Kluyveromyces lactis: one gene and its partners. The protein of the gene in region 2 interacts with the protein of the main gene of each other region in a biochemical or structural test. Links are inferred from orthologs where the notes say so. Each region holds a gene or a part of one and is shown on either strand. Other genes may lie near its edges. The genes, in order: PAM16, TIM23, COX4, PAM17, TIM13 and MGR2.

Evidence for each region.
Region 1: the proteins of TIM23 (region 2) and PAM16 form a complex in vitro, tested with the Saccharomyces cerevisiae proteins (2 studies listed by BioGRID). The link is inferred for Kluyveromyces lactis from reciprocal best matches to the Saccharomyces cerevisiae genes TIM23 and PAM16.
Region 3: the proteins of TIM23 (region 2) and COX4 are reported together in a solved structure, tested with the Saccharomyces cerevisiae proteins (2 studies listed by BioGRID, with this or other methods). The link is inferred for Kluyveromyces lactis from reciprocal best matches to the Saccharomyces cerevisiae genes TIM23 and COX4.
Region 4: the proteins of TIM23 (region 2) and PAM17 form a complex in vitro, tested with the Saccharomyces cerevisiae proteins (2 studies listed by BioGRID). The link is inferred for Kluyveromyces lactis from reciprocal best matches to the Saccharomyces cerevisiae genes TIM23 and PAM17.
Region 5: the proteins of TIM23 (region 2) and TIM13 interact in a test that uses a peptide from one of them, tested with the Saccharomyces cerevisiae proteins (2 studies listed by BioGRID, with this or other methods). The link is inferred for Kluyveromyces lactis from reciprocal best matches to the Saccharomyces cerevisiae genes TIM23 and TIM13.
Region 6: the proteins of TIM23 (region 2) and MGR2 form a complex in vitro, tested with the Saccharomyces cerevisiae proteins (2 studies listed by BioGRID). The link is inferred for Kluyveromyces lactis from reciprocal best matches to the Saccharomyces cerevisiae genes TIM23 and MGR2.

Annotation. Positions count from the first base shown.
Region 1 is NC_006042.1:1,282,520-1,285,707, reverse strand, and holds PAM16 (import motor complex subunit PAM16), read right to left. Parts: upstream 1,431-3,188; coding exon 1,011-1,430; downstream 1-1,010. Other genes in the region: transcription factor HAP4, read left to right, coding at 2,461-3,188. UniProt on the Saccharomyces cerevisiae protein: Essential component of the PAM complex, a complex required for the translocation of transit peptide-containing proteins from the inner membrane into the mitochondrial matrix in an ATP-dependent manner.
Region 2 is NC_006042.1:577,929-581,428, forward strand, and holds TIM23 (protein transporter TIM23), read right to left. Parts: upstream 1,644-3,500; coding exon 984-1,643; downstream 1-983. Other genes in the region: RRT12 (Rrt12p), read left to right, coding at 1-285; KLLA0_F06061g (uncharacterized protein), read left to right, coding at 2,785-3,042. UniProt on the Saccharomyces cerevisiae protein: Essential component of the TIM23 complex, a complex that mediates the translocation of transit peptide-containing proteins across the mitochondrial inner membrane.
Region 3 is NC_006040.1:436,538-439,835, reverse strand, and holds COX4 (cytochrome c oxidase subunit IV), read right to left. Parts: upstream 1,184-3,298; coding exon 719-1,183; downstream 1-718. Other genes in the region: TPN1 (Tpn1p), read right to left, coding at 1,930-3,298. UniProt on the Saccharomyces cerevisiae protein: Component of the cytochrome c oxidase, the last enzyme in the mitochondrial electron transport chain which drives oxidative phosphorylation.
Region 4 is NC_006037.1:561,301-564,739, forward strand, and holds PAM17 (Pam17p), read right to left. Parts: upstream 1,431-3,439; coding exon 840-1,430; downstream 1-839. Other genes in the region: SYP1 (Syp1p), read left to right, coding at 1,847-2,767; KLLA0_A06127g (uncharacterized protein), read right to left, coding at 2,788-3,297. UniProt on the Saccharomyces cerevisiae protein: Component of the PAM complex, a complex required for the translocation of transit peptide-containing proteins from the inner membrane into the mitochondrial matrix in an ATP-dependent manner.
Region 5 is NC_006042.1:1,406,384-1,409,293, reverse strand, and holds TIM13 (protein translocase subunit TIM13), read right to left. Parts: upstream 1,005-2,910; coding exon 699-1,004; downstream 1-698. Other genes in the region: QCR9 (ubiquinol--cytochrome-c reductase subunit 9), read left to right, coding at 1-7; APS3 (Aps3p), read left to right, coding at 1,858-1,879, 1,955-2,496; CBP4 (Cbp4p), read right to left, coding at 2,823-2,910.
Region 6 is NC_006041.1:2,160,701-2,163,594, forward strand, and holds MGR2 (Mgr2p), read left to right. Parts: upstream 1-1,611; coding exon 1,612-1,974; downstream 1,975-2,894. Other genes in the region: tyrosine--tRNA ligase MSY1, read right to left, coding at 1-1,284; INA17 (Ina17p), read left to right, coding at 2,299-2,775. UniProt on the Saccharomyces cerevisiae protein: Required for cell viability in cells lacking mitochondrial DNA.

The DNA of each region.
Region 1 (3,188 bases), about 700 kb from region 2:
GCAGTGCAGTGAGTAGGACGAGCTGCATGGGCAAGATGAGCAGTATATTGCTTATAAGTTCGACTCAAAAGATCCCACTTGGATGAACAGATTTACATTTCATATAAACTGATTCTCGACTAGGCAATATACACCATGAAGGGCCCCAAATATCTGCAACATGCTTGTCTGGTCAACGATATCTTACCTGGTAAAACCCTAAATCAATTATAATAGTAGAGACGTATGTCCGGGTAATCTTTCCGATCAATAGTATAAAAGTGGCAAATTTTTCAACACTTTGAACCTCTTTCAAACACTCTTACAGTTCAAAGATTGGAAAATCTTTTTGATGTTTGTTCTTAATAAACCAATCATCAGTAGTGGTTAGTACTATCTCAAGATAATATTAATACACATATACACCATAGAAACCTACGGTTTCGGTTATCTCTTTTCTCAAGAAGTTTTTCCTAGGTTTCTTCGGAGATCTAGGAACGGCTTTAGTTAATACTGGAGAAGAGTGACTGTTACCATTTTTTAACCCATAGCTGAATGGATCCTGACTAGCCCCAAACAAGCTGGCCACAGTTTCCATTTCGTTTCCGGTTTCTTAGATCAATAAAGTTGGAAGCGCATTGAGTTGGGAGGGGAAGTCTCTTCCTTTTCCCGGTTTTTTGCATCACTTCTTTCTTTTAACCATTATGAAGAGGTCTGGAAAGTGATGATTAGAAGCGGTTTAACAGCTCGCTCTAGTTGTTCTTCCAGGTGTTGCATGTGATCCAGAGGGCTTTGCGTAATGGCTGCCTGAGAGTTTGGATTTTCACTCTCCGTTGTGCCCTTCTTCATGATGGAACAGTTTTCCCATCTTCTAGAGAATTTTTGTATTAATTAGTTGTAGACATAAATCAGCTTCATCAACCACTGATGATATTGTGCTGAACATGATACGATGAGCATGCGATGCGTGTATTTCGGTTTATTTGAACTATTTACAAAACTTATACTAGGCCAGAGAGAATGACCTTACGCTATTTTTTCAACTCCGGTGACTCCGTCGTGGAACTCGACTTCGCTTGTTCTTGATTCAGTTCTGGATTGGCAGCCTTTTCCTTTTCAGCAAGCTCGTACTTCAAACGCTCTGCTGCCCTGTAAATCTTACTCTGCAAGTAGAATGATCCACCTTTCTCTTTATCGTTGATCTCGAACAAATACTTGAATCTTTCGTTGATTTTATCCAAATTCATATCCTGTTCATTCTCAATGTTCAAAATCTTAGAACTCTCATCTAAAGTGATACCTCCGTATTCTGCGCTAGCACCACGGCCTCTAGAAGCATTTGCCGTTTGTTTAGCTGTTTGAGCTGCTGCTTGTCTGTAAGATTCCGCAAACGCACGTCCAAACACCTGTGCCCCGGTGAAAATCACCTGTATAAACGCTCTGTGTGCCATATCCTATAGTCTTGTTGTATTTCTTGGATATGCGCAGTTTACTCGAACTGGAACGGCGTTCTTAGACAAAGCTTAGAAGTTAATCCGATGAGTAGTTTAGTGTTTAATGCTGTTATTAGTTCCAGTTCTTTCTGTTCTCAACTTTTCGATGACTTTTCGAAAACAGAAGGGGTTACCCGGGGATGTCAAGACCAGCCCCACATATTTGCTGTGACACCGTCAAATAACTATATATCTGGTTGACAGCTATGCCTCATTAGAATGATTTAGCTAGTCTACAATGACTACAGATGGAGTTTGTAATTGCATTCGCTCATTCAGGCTTTTTATAGGGTATTTTTATGAGGTTTTAGCTTCTCATTCCACATTGTAGAATGTGGCATCGGAAACGACGCAGGTATCAAGAAATTAAACGATAGGTGATCCCAGCAACAGCAGCTACGCTGCTGTTGCATTGATTGGGGATGTGAATTCAGCATGCTAGTACTAGCGTAGTACTGTAACGGGGAGGAGGGGGGGGATCCAGTTTGGGAGCGTGGCTTTGTATCTGGGGTCATGGTCACGTGATCAATTATTAGCAACTCAACACCCAATCCCCATTTCAAACTTGAGATACCTCTTAGTACTCAGGCCATACTATCTTATGGCCTGAGATATATAAATTCATGATGGCTCGTCTTGATGTATCATGCCCTCATTTTTACCATTGTTCCCCCTCTCTCTCTCTCTCTCAATTTCGGTTTAAATTGAAAAGTTGAGTAGTTAATTCTACCGAAACAAACGACTTCTCCGAAACTAAAACAGGTTCTAACAGACACACAAGGACTCAACAAGCGTGATTCAATCGTATCGCAGGTGGTTCAAACTAATTTAGGTTGCATCTCGCCGTAAGGTTTTTGTATCCTACTTTCAAACGCATACTTCGCAACTCTGGTTACGGCTCCGGTTCCGAACCAGTTAATATTGTTTTCGCTGGTCCGGAGAGAATTCTATAATAAAAGCACTTCAGACACAGAGTAAGAATTAACTAATGTCCAGGCCAGTTTCATTGGAGCCCCTTCACGGACACACTGGGCCTCATCAGCAGATTACAATTGCTCCTAATTTACAGCCGAAGAAACATGAGAAACCCACTGGGATCACGATTCGAACGTCTAGGCACTGGGTTCTTCCACCGAGGCCTAAACCGGGTAGAAAACCCAGTCCTTCTTTATCGATAAAGCAGCAACTGGCAAATGTCAAGGGTATGGCTGTAGAGTCCACTACGCCTGCTTCTGCTTCAAGTACTAATGCCAAGATTAAACAAGAACCTGTGGAATCAGTGAAAGAAGTTGAGAATTTGAGACCGGGATCGAAAAAACACTTGGCTGCCACTGTTATTGATTCTGGTAAAAGTTGCTCTTCTTCTGATCAAGGTACAGTAGCGTCATCTACAACGACTGCAGTCCGTACAGGAGTGCCAACCGCAAGCTCCTCATCATCATCATCATCATCAACTATCCCGTTGACTAACTGTAAATCTACAAACGCCAAGTCAAAAGCAATACAAGTTGAACAGACAACATCGATCACTCATACCCAGCCTAAGCCCATCCGTGCCAAAATTGCACCAGCTGCTTGCAAGAAACAAGTCATGCCAATTCCGACCTTAAAGCCATCAGCTAAAATGGAAAGCGCAAAAGTTAAGCCACAGGTGAAAATGGAACAGCTGGATGTTACTTTAGATCATATTCAATCTGCACAACCCGTGGAGCCAAA
Region 2 (3,500 bases):
TTGAGTAAGACTGCTACGAGAGGTGTTTTCAAGAAGAGAGCTATTGCTGTAAGACCAAGAACTCCAAATAAGGTTCTCTATACAGGAAACAATCAAGAGGATGATGAATTTGCTTACGCAGTTTACCCGATGATTGATGAGATAAAATTCATGGATCAGTTAAAGCAAGCTACAAGTCGAGTGAAACCGCCAAGTGGCGAGATGATTAATCTAGTAACACATGATAGAAAGATACTTAAACCACGATTGAGTAAGTTCCTAAAAAAAGTGAGTAACAATTCTTAATATATTGACATACATAATATACACTTTGTTTTCGTTTTAGAGCAAGAAATCGTTTCGTTTCGTTTCGTTTCGTTTCAGGAAGACACATGCCCTTTTATTCACATGATATTAATTTATGAGCAAACTAGTGATGAAGTGTCTTCCTTCGTTAGACCATTTCGTTGTAAGTTCGTCACAAATGCTGTTATAATTTGTTATAATTGCTAGAGTACCAGCAAGGCCCGCCTGGAGAGGCAGATAATAGAAAAGAAAAATATTGACGAAAGATGACTTTATTAAAATATATACAAGACCATGTATCTCTAAACAAGCTGCTGCTTTATTTCTAGCTCACTCTTTGATGCTTGATTTCAGATATCGACAGTCTCAAGAATGGTGTAGAAAATGGTAATGGAGTAGGAAAACATGCATGGCGAGAATGGTGCTGTGGTGGAACATAGCATGAATTTGCTAAAATTGTCATCATATTGTACATTATACGAAAGGGGAATTCAACATGCAAACGTAAGATAAAATTGGATGAAATGGGCGGTCAGTAAATACGAGACATTAGGGGCATATTTCACATTTGAAACAGGATCCTCATGCAAACCATTTCTAAGACCCAATGTAATAGTAGTGTAGAATGAAAGGAAACGAAAAAAAAAGTTTATCGTGTGTTTATATATCCACAGGTTTATCCTTTTCTTTCTTTCAACTTATAAGATTACAGACTTGATACCGCACCATCCTGCAGCAGCAGCAGCCATCAAAGCGGATGCGTAACCCATTGGTTTCAATCCTCTAGAAGATCTGAAAATAGCACCAGTTAAAGCACCAGCTGCCACTGAGCCAGCAACATCATGCTTACCTCTGAAAGAATCGATCACTGAGTTGATCAAGTTGTAAGTTAAGGCCAACACACCAGCATTGTTACCCAAAAATGGACCTCTTCTTGTGATATGGTTTAATACTGTATTCAATTGCAATTTACCTGGTGAGTTAGGTGGGATGTTCTTCAACCCTTCAATGAACCCATAAGAACCACCAAGACCTAAACCAACCAAGTATACAGCACCAGTACCGTAACATAAATCGTCTGTCCAACCTCTAGATGGAATCAAACCTTGAGAACCTTCCATTGAAGAAAGCTGTTCTTCTTCCAAATCCATATACTCAACACCACGCTCTAGCCCTGCTAATGGGTGAAGCTGTGATGGACTTAATCCTCCTGGAACAGAAATAACGTTCGACACATTCGAAATTGATGATGGATCGAATCCTAGAGTTTGTTTCAGTTTATCATCATTTTGTTCAACTGGTGTAGTATTTTCTTGTGAGTCTGTAGATGACTTCTTACCACCGAAGAGCCAAGACATAGCTATACTTTATTATTATTATTATTAGCCTTAGTTTATATGGTATCGGTCAAAGGATGAAAAATCAGGAAGAGATTAGACCCGGTCCGTATTCGACAATAATGAAGCCCTGTATTTATCGGAGTATTGCCTTGATAGACTGAAATGCAATGGTAACCTAGCAAAATACCAATACGGAAAAGATGTCTTTGTCTTAGTATCTACAACTCAAACCTTCGAGGGTGATTCAACGTATCATACTACTACTTTAAACACTTTTCGATTGTAAAATTATATTTCACTAATTTTTCAAAATTTCAAAATATTTCAAGAACTACGGTTTTTTTTTTCTTCCTCTTGTTTCTTCTTGCTTCACAAGAGACTCTGTGATTTCAAGACCATTCAAGGTAAAATCAACGAATCGTACAAAATGATGATTCATGTAACCGGAACCGTTCTGCAGATGTAGCTGACCTCTGTTTTGAGCGCAGCGAAGGGTAAACAGAGAGAAAAAAATTTGTCATTTCATTTAGCATTTCTAGCGACAAAAAAAATATTTAAAACTGACGCCCGCCATGAGACAATGTTATTTCACACGACATTGCAAAAGTTATCACTGGGTTTCCAAACAGATATCAACTGAGGTATCTTTGGATGAAACTTTACCTACGCAGATTGATAGAAATCTGTAAAAAGGAGCGCATTGCCCTTAAATTCGTACAAAGAATACAAAGGAAAATTGGGGATTTGTTAGGAAACGACTTTTCTGAAATTATACATTTTCAAACCAGTATATATATATAAAGGGATCCGTATAAACCTTTCATATCAATGTACTGTCGCTAATGTTTTTTTTTAAAATCGCCTGGGATAATTTGTGAAAGCATTTCAGATACTAAGGTAGCATACATGCACTAACGCATTTCAAGGCTTCACACTTTTGAATAAACATAAATTTAATATAAAGAGTGCAGTTTTACATGAAAAGGACGCTGGAACATATGTCAGTCTGCCCCTCAGAAAAACTCCGATGAATAATTTAGAGAATCATCAATTTTCATTCTCTGATGATTTGTTACACTGTGATTACACGATAAAACACAAGCTGTTAACCCGCTTTATGACGAAAAGTTTCACCCAGTGATTGAAATACAAACAAAAAATGGCAGAACGTAGTGCTAGAGTCCAATTTGATTTGTTCGAGTCCGAAAAAGTGTTGTTGCGACACAAATGGATCAGAATATTAGAGGAGATTGACTCCGAAGTCTCAGTGACGCTTGGATTTGATCTATACAATACTAAGAAAGAGGATACGAAGTTGCACCACTGCGAGTTGAAGAAGGTGAACCAAATGAGAGTCGGTTACGACGAGTTCCTATTGAAGAAAATTAAGGAAGCTGGAATACAAAATGCGAAATGATTTCTATCAATCTAAATTTTCATTCCAACAGCTGCTCACCCCTTGTATGCTTAACGCTTTTTTCTATACCGTTGTAACAATTTGTCTATAACTTAACTATCTTTCTCTCATGTCAGTCAGTTTATACTATTTCCGCTTTTTTTTTTCTGACGTCTTGTAGTCGCAAACCACAAGAAACCGCAAGTCACGTGATCTCAAACCCTCATCTATCGCTAATCTATTCTAAAATCCAATCGTTGCAGCTTTCACATAAATAACCGCTGTATATCAACCGAATACAACTACTCCATTTCCTTCATTCAAAGATTTGTTCCCTTAAAACGCCAAACGTTCTTTCAGTCTAAAACCAAGCGCATTGCGGTTAATTGCTATTATCTGCCCAGATATAACACACTTCTTATCCTAAATTCTGTTGCATACCGTTGCTGTCAACGTGACGTGTACCAAATTGTTGGTAC
Region 3 (3,298 bases), on a different chromosome or scaffold from region 2:
AACTTTTTTAATATTTGAGTATGTATGGGTGTACATTTTTTTGTTTTTCCTTTTATCATCAACACCACTTCGAAACAGTCCCTGAAAATGAACAAACCCTTAAAGTGCCGATAAGTCCATCTATCATTGGGGTAATTCCCCTTCATAGATGATATACATATAATCTGAAAAGGTTGCTTTGCAACTACTAAGTGTTTTGAATATTCGGTAATTACTTCTGTATCGGTAATTGTCATACTGACCCTCGGTGTCACCTTGAAACAAAGACTTTTTTTTTTGAAATTTTATTGATAAAATCGTACTTAATTTAAATAATGAGTTCTTACCTGTGAAATGTAGTATGTAGAGAAACAATGTGTAACATAAGTCTTTAATTGGTTTAAACGATCCGGGGGGGGAAAGAAATAGAGGCAATTGGTATAAAATATGAATCAATCATTCTTTTAAAATTCAATAGATCTGGCCTGTTCCCCGCTTTCCAAACATATAAACAAATCTTGATTATGTGCAGGACCAGTTCAAGTATATGTCCCCACTAAACTTTTTGTGTAATTTGTTGCTTCAGCTTGTGTAATTTATTATTTTGTAATATTTTAGAATAGGTTTGTGTATTTGACATTTGTATTGGAATTTTTAGAATGATATAGTGGTACACTGGTTGTTAATCCTTTTTTTACCAGGATAAGTGGGAATGATATGGAAGGAAGGATTAAAATGCTTAATGGTGACCTTCTTGAGGAACACCGACCATCTTAAGCTTGTATACACAACCGGTTTCCCAACATCTGGCGACTTGACCGTCGGTTGGCTTCAACCACATGACGTTGTGAGAACCAGCTGGGGAACCAGTGGCACCGACATAACGGTAGTCATCGTAGGATTCAACAATGATTGGGTTTTCCATGGTACCGATTCTGGAAGAGTCCAATGGCTTGGTGTCGAAAACTTCGATACCTTCCAATTTACCCAACAATTCCAATCTGGCTAAACCAGTGGCTTGGTCCAATTCGGTTGGAACTTCACCGTCTTTGGCACCAGGACCAATCAAAGTGTCAGCACCGTTAACTTCAGCCAACTTGGTAGCAGTCTTAACAACTTGTTGATCACCTGCAACCTTGGTGGTAGCAAAAGCTCTGGATGCTGGGCCGAACAACTTCGATAGGGATTGACGTAGAGACAACATTATTTCTTCTTTGTGATTGGATTGATAGGTGATAACTTAGATACTCCGATGTGTGAATCTAAAACGATGGAACAAAGGTATATTTGAATTGTAATGAACTAATCAATTAGCAATATATGACAAAAAGAACCACTTGGATACTGTAAGCTAGCTGAGACAGATAAGGTGATCAGTTGAATATATTCGCAAATGAAAGTAATCGGCGAAAGAAAACCCTCTGAAACAAACGTATGACTCTCTTGAACAAACTTGATAAAACGTCTTTAGCTACTTTCTAAAACTCTGAAATCACTGTTGAAAATATTATTCATATATATACATTCGGTTCCAATATCCTGCGAAAATCAAGAAATGAAAATTATCGCTTATAACAAAAAACGTACAAAAATCACATCATGTTTCCCAGTATGATTGGAGCAGGGAGAAGAAGGAAAGATACAAAAAAGGTGTCTACTCGTACATAGTGATGTACACATTTTTTAGCTGGAGTAGTCTTTCGTATTTGTTTCTATTTTGTTTCCGGCGAGAGTAGGATCTAGTGTGGGTGTTGTCAATTGAGTGAGAATTCTGCGATATGGTTGGCTAGAGGTCATGTGATTTATATAGGCAATGCCATGCCATTAATATTAAAGAGATTATTCATTTGATCTGGCGCGCGTCGCGTGACAGGTTATATACATATATGTGTGTACATATATGTGTGTTTCTATTATATGTGTATAATGTCAGATAATGGGGAAAATGGTTCACCTGCCAAATTTCTTCAGTTCGCAGTACCTTAGTGGTGGATATGATACTCCTGCGAAACCCATACCGAGCCACATACCTAAATCTCCGCCATACTCGCCAATCTTTGCGGCAAGTGGCCCCACGTAATACGTTTGACACATTCCAAGTACCACACCAGCAACACCGATGCAGAACGCAGCGGATGCAGCCAATCCTCTTGTGATGACTTCAGAGTTGTCCCATTCATCCCAGTTGTACCTGTGGATGTGCCTTGGTAATTTCCTTAGTTTATGATGTGGTTTCACTTCTATGTCATTGGGGAATTCCAATTTATATAGATGGTGGAACCAGTTTCTAAAGATGACGTTCTCTTCCACGAGTAAGATGAAGTACATGCTAATCCAGTAACCAATCATAGGTAGGAAATTTCCCAAGATGGTGGAAAAACTGTTTCTACCTACTAGCGCACATACGAGGTAAAAGATGGTACATCCGATAGCCCAGATCCAACGAGGCACCTTGGCTAACATCACACTTGATAATTGGATGGAGAATGCTGCAGAGTATGTGTTAACAATATTATTCGAGATTAAAGATAAGATCAATACAACGACCAAAAATTTCCCAAATCCATTCCAACGAGAGAAACCAGCATTCATGAGACCACCCATCCCATATTCATCATATGCAGCTTGCCAAGGTTCGTAGGACAGTGAACATGATGCCAGTAGAAGACCCAATACACCAACGAAAGTGGTTGGTACCGCAGTTCCGAAAAATGTCAATAAGAAGACTTGAATCTGAGGAGTGTCCTCGGGGAACAAGATATAGTAATCTGCTGTGATGGAACCCCAAGTTGATGTGATACTGTAACACAAAGAAAAGAAGGATAACCAGCAACCTTTCACAGTCAGTGAATCAATGTCACTATTACTGAATTCGTACAAGTACTTGAACTTGTCACTTGCTGAGATGTACAACAACAGGAAACTAGTTAGCACGGGCACTGCAAACAGAGTCTCTACTTTTAAAACCTGCTTGATACCAAAAATGGAAACAAGCAACGATACCACAGTAACAATGATAATACCAACCCAAAGTGGAACCTTACCGTCACTAACACTAGCTAGCATTTGTCCTCCAACAACACAGTTCACAATGGACCAGCCCATAACACCGACAATCGCAGCCAAGGCAATAAATTTCACAAACCACCAACCGAACAGATAACGAGCAGTAACTATTTGTCTACAACCAGATTGTGGACCCATTACAGAACAGTAAGCTGCAACCCCACAGCCGATCCACATCGATATCAATCCACTCACAAGACATTGGTTAAACGTAAGTTGGAATACCATTGGACCAAGGAAGTATGACGACATA
Region 4 (3,439 bases), on a different chromosome or scaffold from region 2:
GTTATGCGTTCCTTTCCTCAATCAAACCCGCGACATCAATGAAAAGAACAGACAGAACAGCCGGGTACCTTGAAGAAGAACTTCCAGAGAGCCATTTTATGGTATATAACTGGGGTAAATAGACCCATATTCAACCGGTAGATTATCGAAGAAACCCAGTTAACCCAGTTAATAAAGGGGCTACACTGCGCTGGAATATAATAAATTGAAATGAAGAACTACTCCCAATTTAGTTGAACTACTAACAGTATAAGAACTGGGTGTGTGGCCGAGTGGTTAAGGCGCCTGCTTCAGGGACAAGAAATGAGCATGCGGACTCAATGCGGCATCAAAACCGTCTCCGTCGCTTTCCAATTGACACATTCTGCTTTACCTTTGGGGGGGCCAAGAAAATTGCGATAGCCGTTTCCTTAAACCTTTAAACAGAGGTTTTCTACGCAGTTTTGTGCGAGTTGTAAGGGGCCTGGTCCGAAAATCAAAAATTTGTGGGTCCTCCAGAAAATCTTCACTGATTGCTTGGCGGCTATTGGGTGCGGGTAGAGCAGAAGTGGATTGCGAGTGACGGACACGGTTACCCGGAATATGCAGGTCTGTTAATGTTAACAGGCGCGAGTTCGAACCTCGCCGCATCCAAATATACTTTTTTTTGTTGGGTATCGATCCTTTTCATTCCGGTTTCTCTGGCATATACCATTACGCAATTGCTAATGCTGATTTAACGAATGTTTCTTTAGATATCAACCACTATTTATTATTTACTATTTACTTGTACTTACGGAAAGGCGTTTCCTTGGGTGGGAGAGTGATAGTCATCATACTTTTTCTGGTATTTTTCCGCTTCACAAGAACTCACTAGCCTTTCTTTTGTAAGAATGACAATCTCTTAGCCATTGTCTGTACTGTGGTATCGAATTAATCTTTTCACCGTAGTAATCCGGCACAGGGTTACTGAAAGATTGTGATTGAGGATTGACTCTGTTCTTTTGGATTTTGGCCAAAAATGAAAGTTGCTTCTCTTGAAACTGTAATAATTTGGGACCGGAAGTGGCCTTAAACAATGCAGTACCCACAATTGGTCCCAATAACCAACCAACAGCAGCACATGTGATCATACCAGCAGTAATTGCCATTAGTGGATCGAATCCAAAGATTGTTTGAGTTGGATCGATTTCCAAAGTGGAGAAGTAAAACCACGAACCGTTAACGAATACTATGGCTGTCGCAACCGAAGAAGCCGTGTTGAAAACACGTTCTTTTTTACGTAGCTTGAAGAATTCTGGCCATGTCATTTCATGAGAAGCTGTCTTACCAGCATTAGTGCTATTCATTCTGATGGCAACGGCATTGCGTGTAACGGCTCTTTTCAAAAGAGATTGTCCATTTAGTCCAACCAAAAGACGGTTCTGTAGATTGATTCCTAGTCTCAACATAGTTTGGGCTATTTTTCCGTGGTATTTGGTTCTTATTGCCTCTGATATCCGAGTATACTACTTATCGAGTAACACAGCAGAAGAATTGGCTGTTTGATGCTAGTTCAAACAGGTGATCTGGATCCACCCCTCGAACATTCCTTATTGAAATCATGTTATAAGCTCATTTGGTAGCTTTCCAAACTTTTTTTTGGAATTGACAAGCTTCAATATCCACGTCCGGGTAATGAAAGTACCGCTTTTTCCAATCTCTTGATCAAATGGTGTTATATCTCGAATAGATCTTCATTTGATACAGATATATGTTACGTCCGTTCATCATTGCATGATACTTTCACTATTCTAAAGCTGTCTATTATAGTTATAGGTTATATTGTTTGCCTTGCACGTCTCAAAAAGTAAGTCTTTCTGTTATAATGTCTGATGTTCTAGCTTTTGCAGAAATAGTGCAGGGCTATATTCAATCGCTAGAAGAACTCAAAGAGACAAAATTCGATAGTAATAGTGAATTGTTCTCTGAAGTGTCCCAGGAACTTGTCAGATCCAAGGAATTACTGCTACAGTTACAGGAGAGGGAGAATATACTGAAATTGAGAGAATCAGGACCAGATTCAGAGTCACCACCATTACCAGAGATTAATGGTGATATAGTAGAGACTTTGTCATGTGTTATCACAGACGATAATATAACGAACGTATCACTTGTTGGCGAAGTTGCCATCAATGGTACCAAGTGGGATCAAAGAACGAGTGATTTGTATATGAAATTCAATAATGTTAGTTCCGTTAAGATTAACGACACATTCCTGGAGCCAGTGGATGTGGTTCAGAATATATACAAATTGAAACGTGAACGCGAATGGGACAACGTGGTTACAGGATTAGTGAAATATGCAGTGACAAATTTACCACAGGTTCAATGTCCGATTCTAGTGACACCCGTATGGCAGTTCAAAGAGGCCGAGATCATCTCAATGATCAATTTAAGACCTTTAATTCCTGTCAATTATACACTATTGAAAGTTTGTATAAAGATAGGCACCAAGGCCCAAGATATTTTATCTAAACCTACTGGATTTTATAACCAAGTGGATGGTACCATCCAATGGGATCTGCCCATGCTGGAACAGGATCAGATTCTGATTTTGAGATATAAAGGTGGACAACGAACCGATGTTGTCACATCTCAAGCAATTGGGCCACCGCATGTTCGTATAGATTTTACCGCATCACAGCTGTTGACACAGGTTAACGTGGAATACGGATATTCACCAACCAGATTAACGGACCTGCCGTTAAACGTAATGACTATTTCTGGGAACTATAAGGCCCAGTGATTGTCAAGCGTTATCTTTACTCAGACTATAACCCTTGGCAATCTGTACTTTTCGTTTCTGGACGATTTAAAAGAGATCTCAGACGATGAGGAAGATGTCGAGACAGATGACACAGGAGACACGGATTTCCTGGGTAGCAGCGGTAACATTTCCGCGACAAAATCGTGAACCCATCTCAACTGGTATTCCGTCAAACAAGAGAGTTTCTCCGAAAGGTACGGCACCACTAGACAAACGGCATCCGAACTATTAGAGCTATAATCTTGGTAGTAATCGTCATCAACAGAAGCAATATCGGGAGTTTGCATTCGTACCACTGCATTCGTGCTCATCCAGCGTTCGATCCTTCTAGTGGGGTCCTCCTGTTCCATTTCATCGTCGTCGCTACTAGAACTCAATACCAATGGGTCATTCACCACATGGTACTCGCCAATATCTAAATCAAGCCACGCTTCTTCGGATAATATATCATCACTTCTGGCGCTGGTGCGAACCACACGTTTGCTGAACCTTCTAACACCAAATGACATCTGGAAATGCTCTCAACCTGTTAAACCACCAAATAACCTTTATAAGACCGGTTCTGGTCTATATATTATTGATTTGAATTTGTACTTGAACTTAAACTGCGTTAAATAATATCGTTATCACACACTCCACAATTTACCAGTA
Region 5 (2,910 bases), about 830 kb from region 2:
TGAATAAGTTTCTTTTGACATTTGAATTATATCATTTCTCATCATTATACTTTTAAGTGTCTTTTCATTGATGCTTTTGTTCAATTATTTTACTTCTTAGAATATACCGTCACTTCAAAACATATTTTAAAAATGTGGATACGCTACTGTCGGGAAACATTTATCTATCCGGCACTCCATACGTCTACCAGGCCTAGGACATCAACTTTGGAATGATGTTCTCAGATTTTCATAACATTCATCCTTTTCGCTATCGGAATCTCACTCGATTCAAGAGATAAAAAGGGTAAAACATATATGACCATAAAGCGTGAATATCTGCGCATTGATGTTCATCTTATTTGTTGTTAGCTGTTTTTCCCTCTACTCCTATTTATTTTCAACTCACTTATTTGAAATCTCATCAATCAATCACATATGCGGCTCAATTGTATTTAAATACAATGTATTGTTTGTGCTGTTTCTGTGTATTAATCATGTCTATACGATAATAAAAAAGAATTACCCATTATTTGTGTACCAATACCGTACTTTTGTTTATATATATATACCTGAATTTATTCGACGGGTATGAAATAGCATTCATAATGTATGATTATACGTAAGACGCGAATATAACATTATACAAATCTATATACATGTAGCTTGTAATGAATCAGAGCATTAAATAACTTCTTTTATCTCAAAAGTTGCGCCCCTTAGATTTCACCGTTAACCGAAGCTTGCTGAATTCTGTTAATGTAAGCCTTTGAAATGGCATTCCAACTTCTCATATATTTAGCCAAACATTGGTCGACGCAGTTATCTTGAGAAGCAGCATATGGAGCATTCAGACATTTCTCAAAACAGTTCTCAGTGACTTTGTTAACTAACTCGGTAGCATTGGCGATGGCTAATTCTTGAGAGATTTGAGATTTAAGTTGGGTCTTGACATCGCTAGGACTGGATGTGGCTGGGGTACCAGATGATGAAGAGCTACCACCAAAGATCGAAGTTAAAGCCATATCTTAATGTGTTCTATGATAGATTATTGATCCGATGCAATGTTCAGAGGGGCCTGGATGATAGATTATAGCTGTTAATTGTAGATTGCCAATGGATATTTCAGTTTATGCTAAAGCTTCAAATCATTAGTTTTTTTTTTCAATATGAGGAAGAAACATTCCTTCACATCGAGCAGCAATGGAAGGGATAGATAACTATTGTTTCAGCCCGTTTCACAACCTCTCCTTTCCTGCGATTTACCGCGTTATTGGAAGATATGTTTGGAAGTTCCCCAGAGTGATTTACTTACTAATATGAACCACTGTCCAAGTACTTGTCACACGGAGCATATATGTAGTCGCATGATTATCATTACGTTACTGTACCCCAAACTTAGTACAACAGACATCAACAAATACTAGGCATCGGTGGTTTAGTGGTAAAATCCAACGTTGCCATCGTTGGGCCCCGGGTTCGATTCCCGGCCGATGCATTCTTTTTCATTATTCAATAATTTATTGAGCACTCAATTTTTTTATCAAGCGTTGCTACCTATTTCATAAACTGAATCCACTATAGCATTTCGATTCATTCAATGCAAATTCAATAGTATCGGTAAGGTTTCACTAACGGCTCTCGATGTGTTTCTTACTCGTTTTCTTTTATTGTACAGAAAACCCATCTTTACAATTCTCAGCATGAATCCAACATTTGAAAATCGAAAGTGCCAATTCAATTGAAATAAGTTAAAATGATGATGAGAAGTTACAAGTATATTTTGCGAAGAATAGTAGATAGATATCATTGAACAAGGTAGTTCAATAACTTGCCTTTGATAACAGACAAGCACAGACCAATTGGCAACGGCCAGTCATGATTCATGCAGTATTAATATGTATGTAAAGTGTTACCAAGCAATACCCTAGAAATCAAGCTTTACTAACATTTAATGATGATCCAAATGCAACAGTTAACAAGAAATGTCAACCAAGATTGATAAAATTTTATACACCTGTAGAGGTTGAAAAGCAAACGCTTTTATTACAGCAAGTATATGAACTTATATCTCAGCGTAACAGTCAGGTGCAGTCATCTTTCTTAGTAACTCCTCCATCTTTATTAATGGACTCAGGTGATAACGAAGATATTCAAATCATATACAAGAACTACGCCACGTTATACTTCACATTTATAGTTGATGAACAAGAATCAGAACTAGCAATCTTAGATTTGATTCAAACGTTTGTAGAGGCATTGGATAAATGTTTCGAAGAAGTGAATGAGCTAGACTTAATCTTCAATTGGCAAACATTGGAAAGTGTACTTGAAGAGATTATCCAAGGTGGATTGGTGATAGAGACCAATGTAAGGAAAATCGTAAGTGCTGTAGATGAATTGAATAACGCTAATGAAAGTGAAAATTCTTTCACCAAACTAGCAGGGAATCGAATCTCTGAGGCGTTCCAGGCGTTCAGTTATTCAAATTTCAGTGCTTGGGGGTCACATCAATGATAAATCAGAAAATAACCCCGCTATCTTAACGCCAATGTCATATTAATGTTGATAGGCCTTGCAGCATAATAGTTAATAGTGGATTATAATAATATCATATGAATAAATAAAGTCGAAACTCATGGAAAAATTATATACACTCCATTGATTTCGAAAACAACGATAAATAATATCTACAGGCGGTTAGTAAAGTAACTTTCAGATAACCGATTCATCAACGTGGATGGATTGGTTTCCGCCATAAAGTTTGAGGAAAAAATAATGCAAATTGAGCTCTAAACTCGGTTTCGAGAGAAATCCGATATCGAAACGTAGAATACCAGCATTTACCACAGACTCCACCAGCTCTTTTTGGAAACGATCATATCTGTTTGGTCCAGACTCTCCATTCTAATCTTATCCAATTCCTGTCTG
Region 6 (2,894 bases), on a different chromosome or scaffold from region 2:
AAAGTTTGTGGTGTCATCCACTACTTTGTTCTTATTTGGTCCTAGATAGATGGATCCTTGTTTGATTCTCCTCCTGGACTCAGTCTTTGAACAATCGATCAATTGACACACAATATCAGACAATGGCGTATTGATCGGTATCTTGTTCAAAATTCTATTCTCATCGAAGACTCTGATCAGTTCAGCTGCCTTAACGTTTTCAAAACCTGAACCACCAAATAAAATTCGCGATACAAACTCTGCATCGTCACCTTTACCAATTCCATGAATCAGATCCACAACTTCTTTAGCTAACCTTTTTTGAGCGTATCTTTCATTTGGCGATAGTGCGTGTTGAGCCATGATGTCTTCAATTAATTCCAACGGTAACAGAGTAAAGATCTTCAATTGCTTTGCCACATCTGCATCAGTAGTATTCACGAAGAACTGATACATATCATAGGAGGTATTGATTTCAGGGTCAATGAATACTGCATTACCCGCCGATTTACCGAATTTTTCTCCAGTGGAGGTCGTCAATAAGGGCACCGTTAAACCAAAAGCTGGACGAGTCTTCACATGCTGGGGAGAAATTCTGTTGATAAGATCGATACCCGCTGTAATATTACCCCATTGATCGTTACCACCAACTTGGATGGACACTTGTTCATTTGAGTACAAATGGTAGAAATCGTATGCTTGTAAGATCTGATACGTGAATTCGTTGAAACCAATACCATCTTGACTTTGCAATCTCGAAGAAACGGAATCACGACTCAACATGTTCTGTATACGAATATGTTTACCGTAAGTAGCAAGGAAATCTAACATCTTAACATCCTGCCACCACGAAATATTGTTTAGATAGGTGACCTTACCTGGTGCATCTCTTTCCTTAATCCTAGACTCGTAGTATTTCAATCCATTCGTGAAAAATGTCTTGTACTGTTCCACAATCCTTTCAATGTTCCCTTGTCTCTTTGCTTCAGCGATAACATCCCTCTCAGTTTTCCTCCCACTTGGGTCACCAACTTTGCCGGTGGCCCCACCAATTAACGAAACGACGTCATGCCCTCTCACATAAAAGTTCAAAAGAACCATTAAGGGCAGTAAATTACCCAAATGCAAAGATTTCGCAGTGGGATCTGCTCCACAATATAGTTTGATCTTATCACCATTACTCAGTTTCTCAGACAATAACTTCTCCGGCTGTGAAACCTGCTGAACCAACCCTCTCTCTCGAAGAACCTGCAATACATCGCATTTCGTTGCCAAATTTCTCACAAGCAACCTCCCAAATATCATTGCAACTTCGAAGCTTTCAAAGCAGAAAGATCAACTGTTAGTATATATTAAAAAAGATAAAGCTTTAACAACCTACTACGGCCAATGGCGCTGTCCAAGACTGACCTTTAGGCAGTTTTCTCGTCTGAACTTCAAAGTCACATCAAATCGGACTCGAATCGAAATTTTCGAAGTTTTCAAACTAGAAAAAAGAATCAAATTACTGTACCAAATGTATGAACGACCAACTCCACAAAACGTAACGGAATTAACCAGGGTCTCGCTCTCTTTCCAGACATCCAAGACTAACGCGCGCACAGATAACACGAACCACGACTTGAACCAGAAATGCCACCACCACCAAAAGTTTACGGCCAACAACAACAACCTTCGAACTGGGAAAAGTTCAAGATGGGTTTGATGATGGGTACTACCGTTGGTGTTTGTACTGGCATCTTATTCGGTGGTGTTGCCATTGTTACACAAGGCCCAGGTCCAAACGGGTTTGTGAGAACCTTAGGGCAGTACATCGCTGGTTCTGCTGCCACTTTTGGCCTATTTATGAGTATCGGTTCTGTCATTAGAAGTGATGGAACTTCCGACAACTCCCACAACAATGGTTTCTACCATAGTAAGATGGCCGAATTGCAACAGAGATCAAGATTTGAAGTATGGAAAGCTAAACAAACTTATGGTTTGTACAAGGATTAAGCGTTTTTACCCAGCAATTGTACATGGGTCAGAGGCAGCGGTACCTACTAATCTTTTCGTATCTACTCTATTTCTGTCCTCTCGGTATATTTTTAAGTAAAATGAATATTGTAAATAGGAATTTAAGATGATCAATTTTTCGAGAGGAGCTGATGAAGTAAAGAACCTGGGGAGATTACAGTACACACGTAGGGATCACAAAGGCATACTGCGAGCTTCAGAATTTGTTTCCATTGCAGTTAGTGAACGGTGTAAACACACACTTTGGTATATTCGTACCGTTTTTTCTATTTGGAAGAAGTTGACATAGATAGTAGAACAATAATGTTCAGACCGTTGGTGAAAAGAGTCGTAACTCGCCGTTTTCTAGCGGCTGCTAATAACAGTAATGCCCATATAGAGATCAGGACTCTAGAAGATCTTGCCAAGCTTCAATCACTCGATAACGTGGATCCTAAGTTAATTAGTAAGTTAATCAATGACAAGACTAACGAGCTTAATATTAAGAACGAACTACAGATGTTGAAACAGTTACAGGCAGAAGAACAGAAGACACAGGAGACTTCTCTCAAGAAGTTTGTTAGGCCAGCATGGATCTTTCTACTAATGGGTTCTATCGTATATCTTTCTTGTCATTATGTATGGTGGAAATTAGATTACGAGGAAAAAGAACTCGAATATACGCATAAAGTGCACCAGTTGGAAAGCGAACTAGCTGCATTGAACGAAGCACACAATTCTTCGGTATCTTCAGATAAAAATTCTAAAAGGTCAAGCAGGAAGTGGTATAAATTTTGGTAAATTGACGCTAGGGATGATCCTCTATTGAATCATCTAGAGATTGTCATTTTTTCTCCCAGTATTATATATGTATATATCTTCTGTACGGACGTAGCTACACAGCTTAATCAATTAAAGGA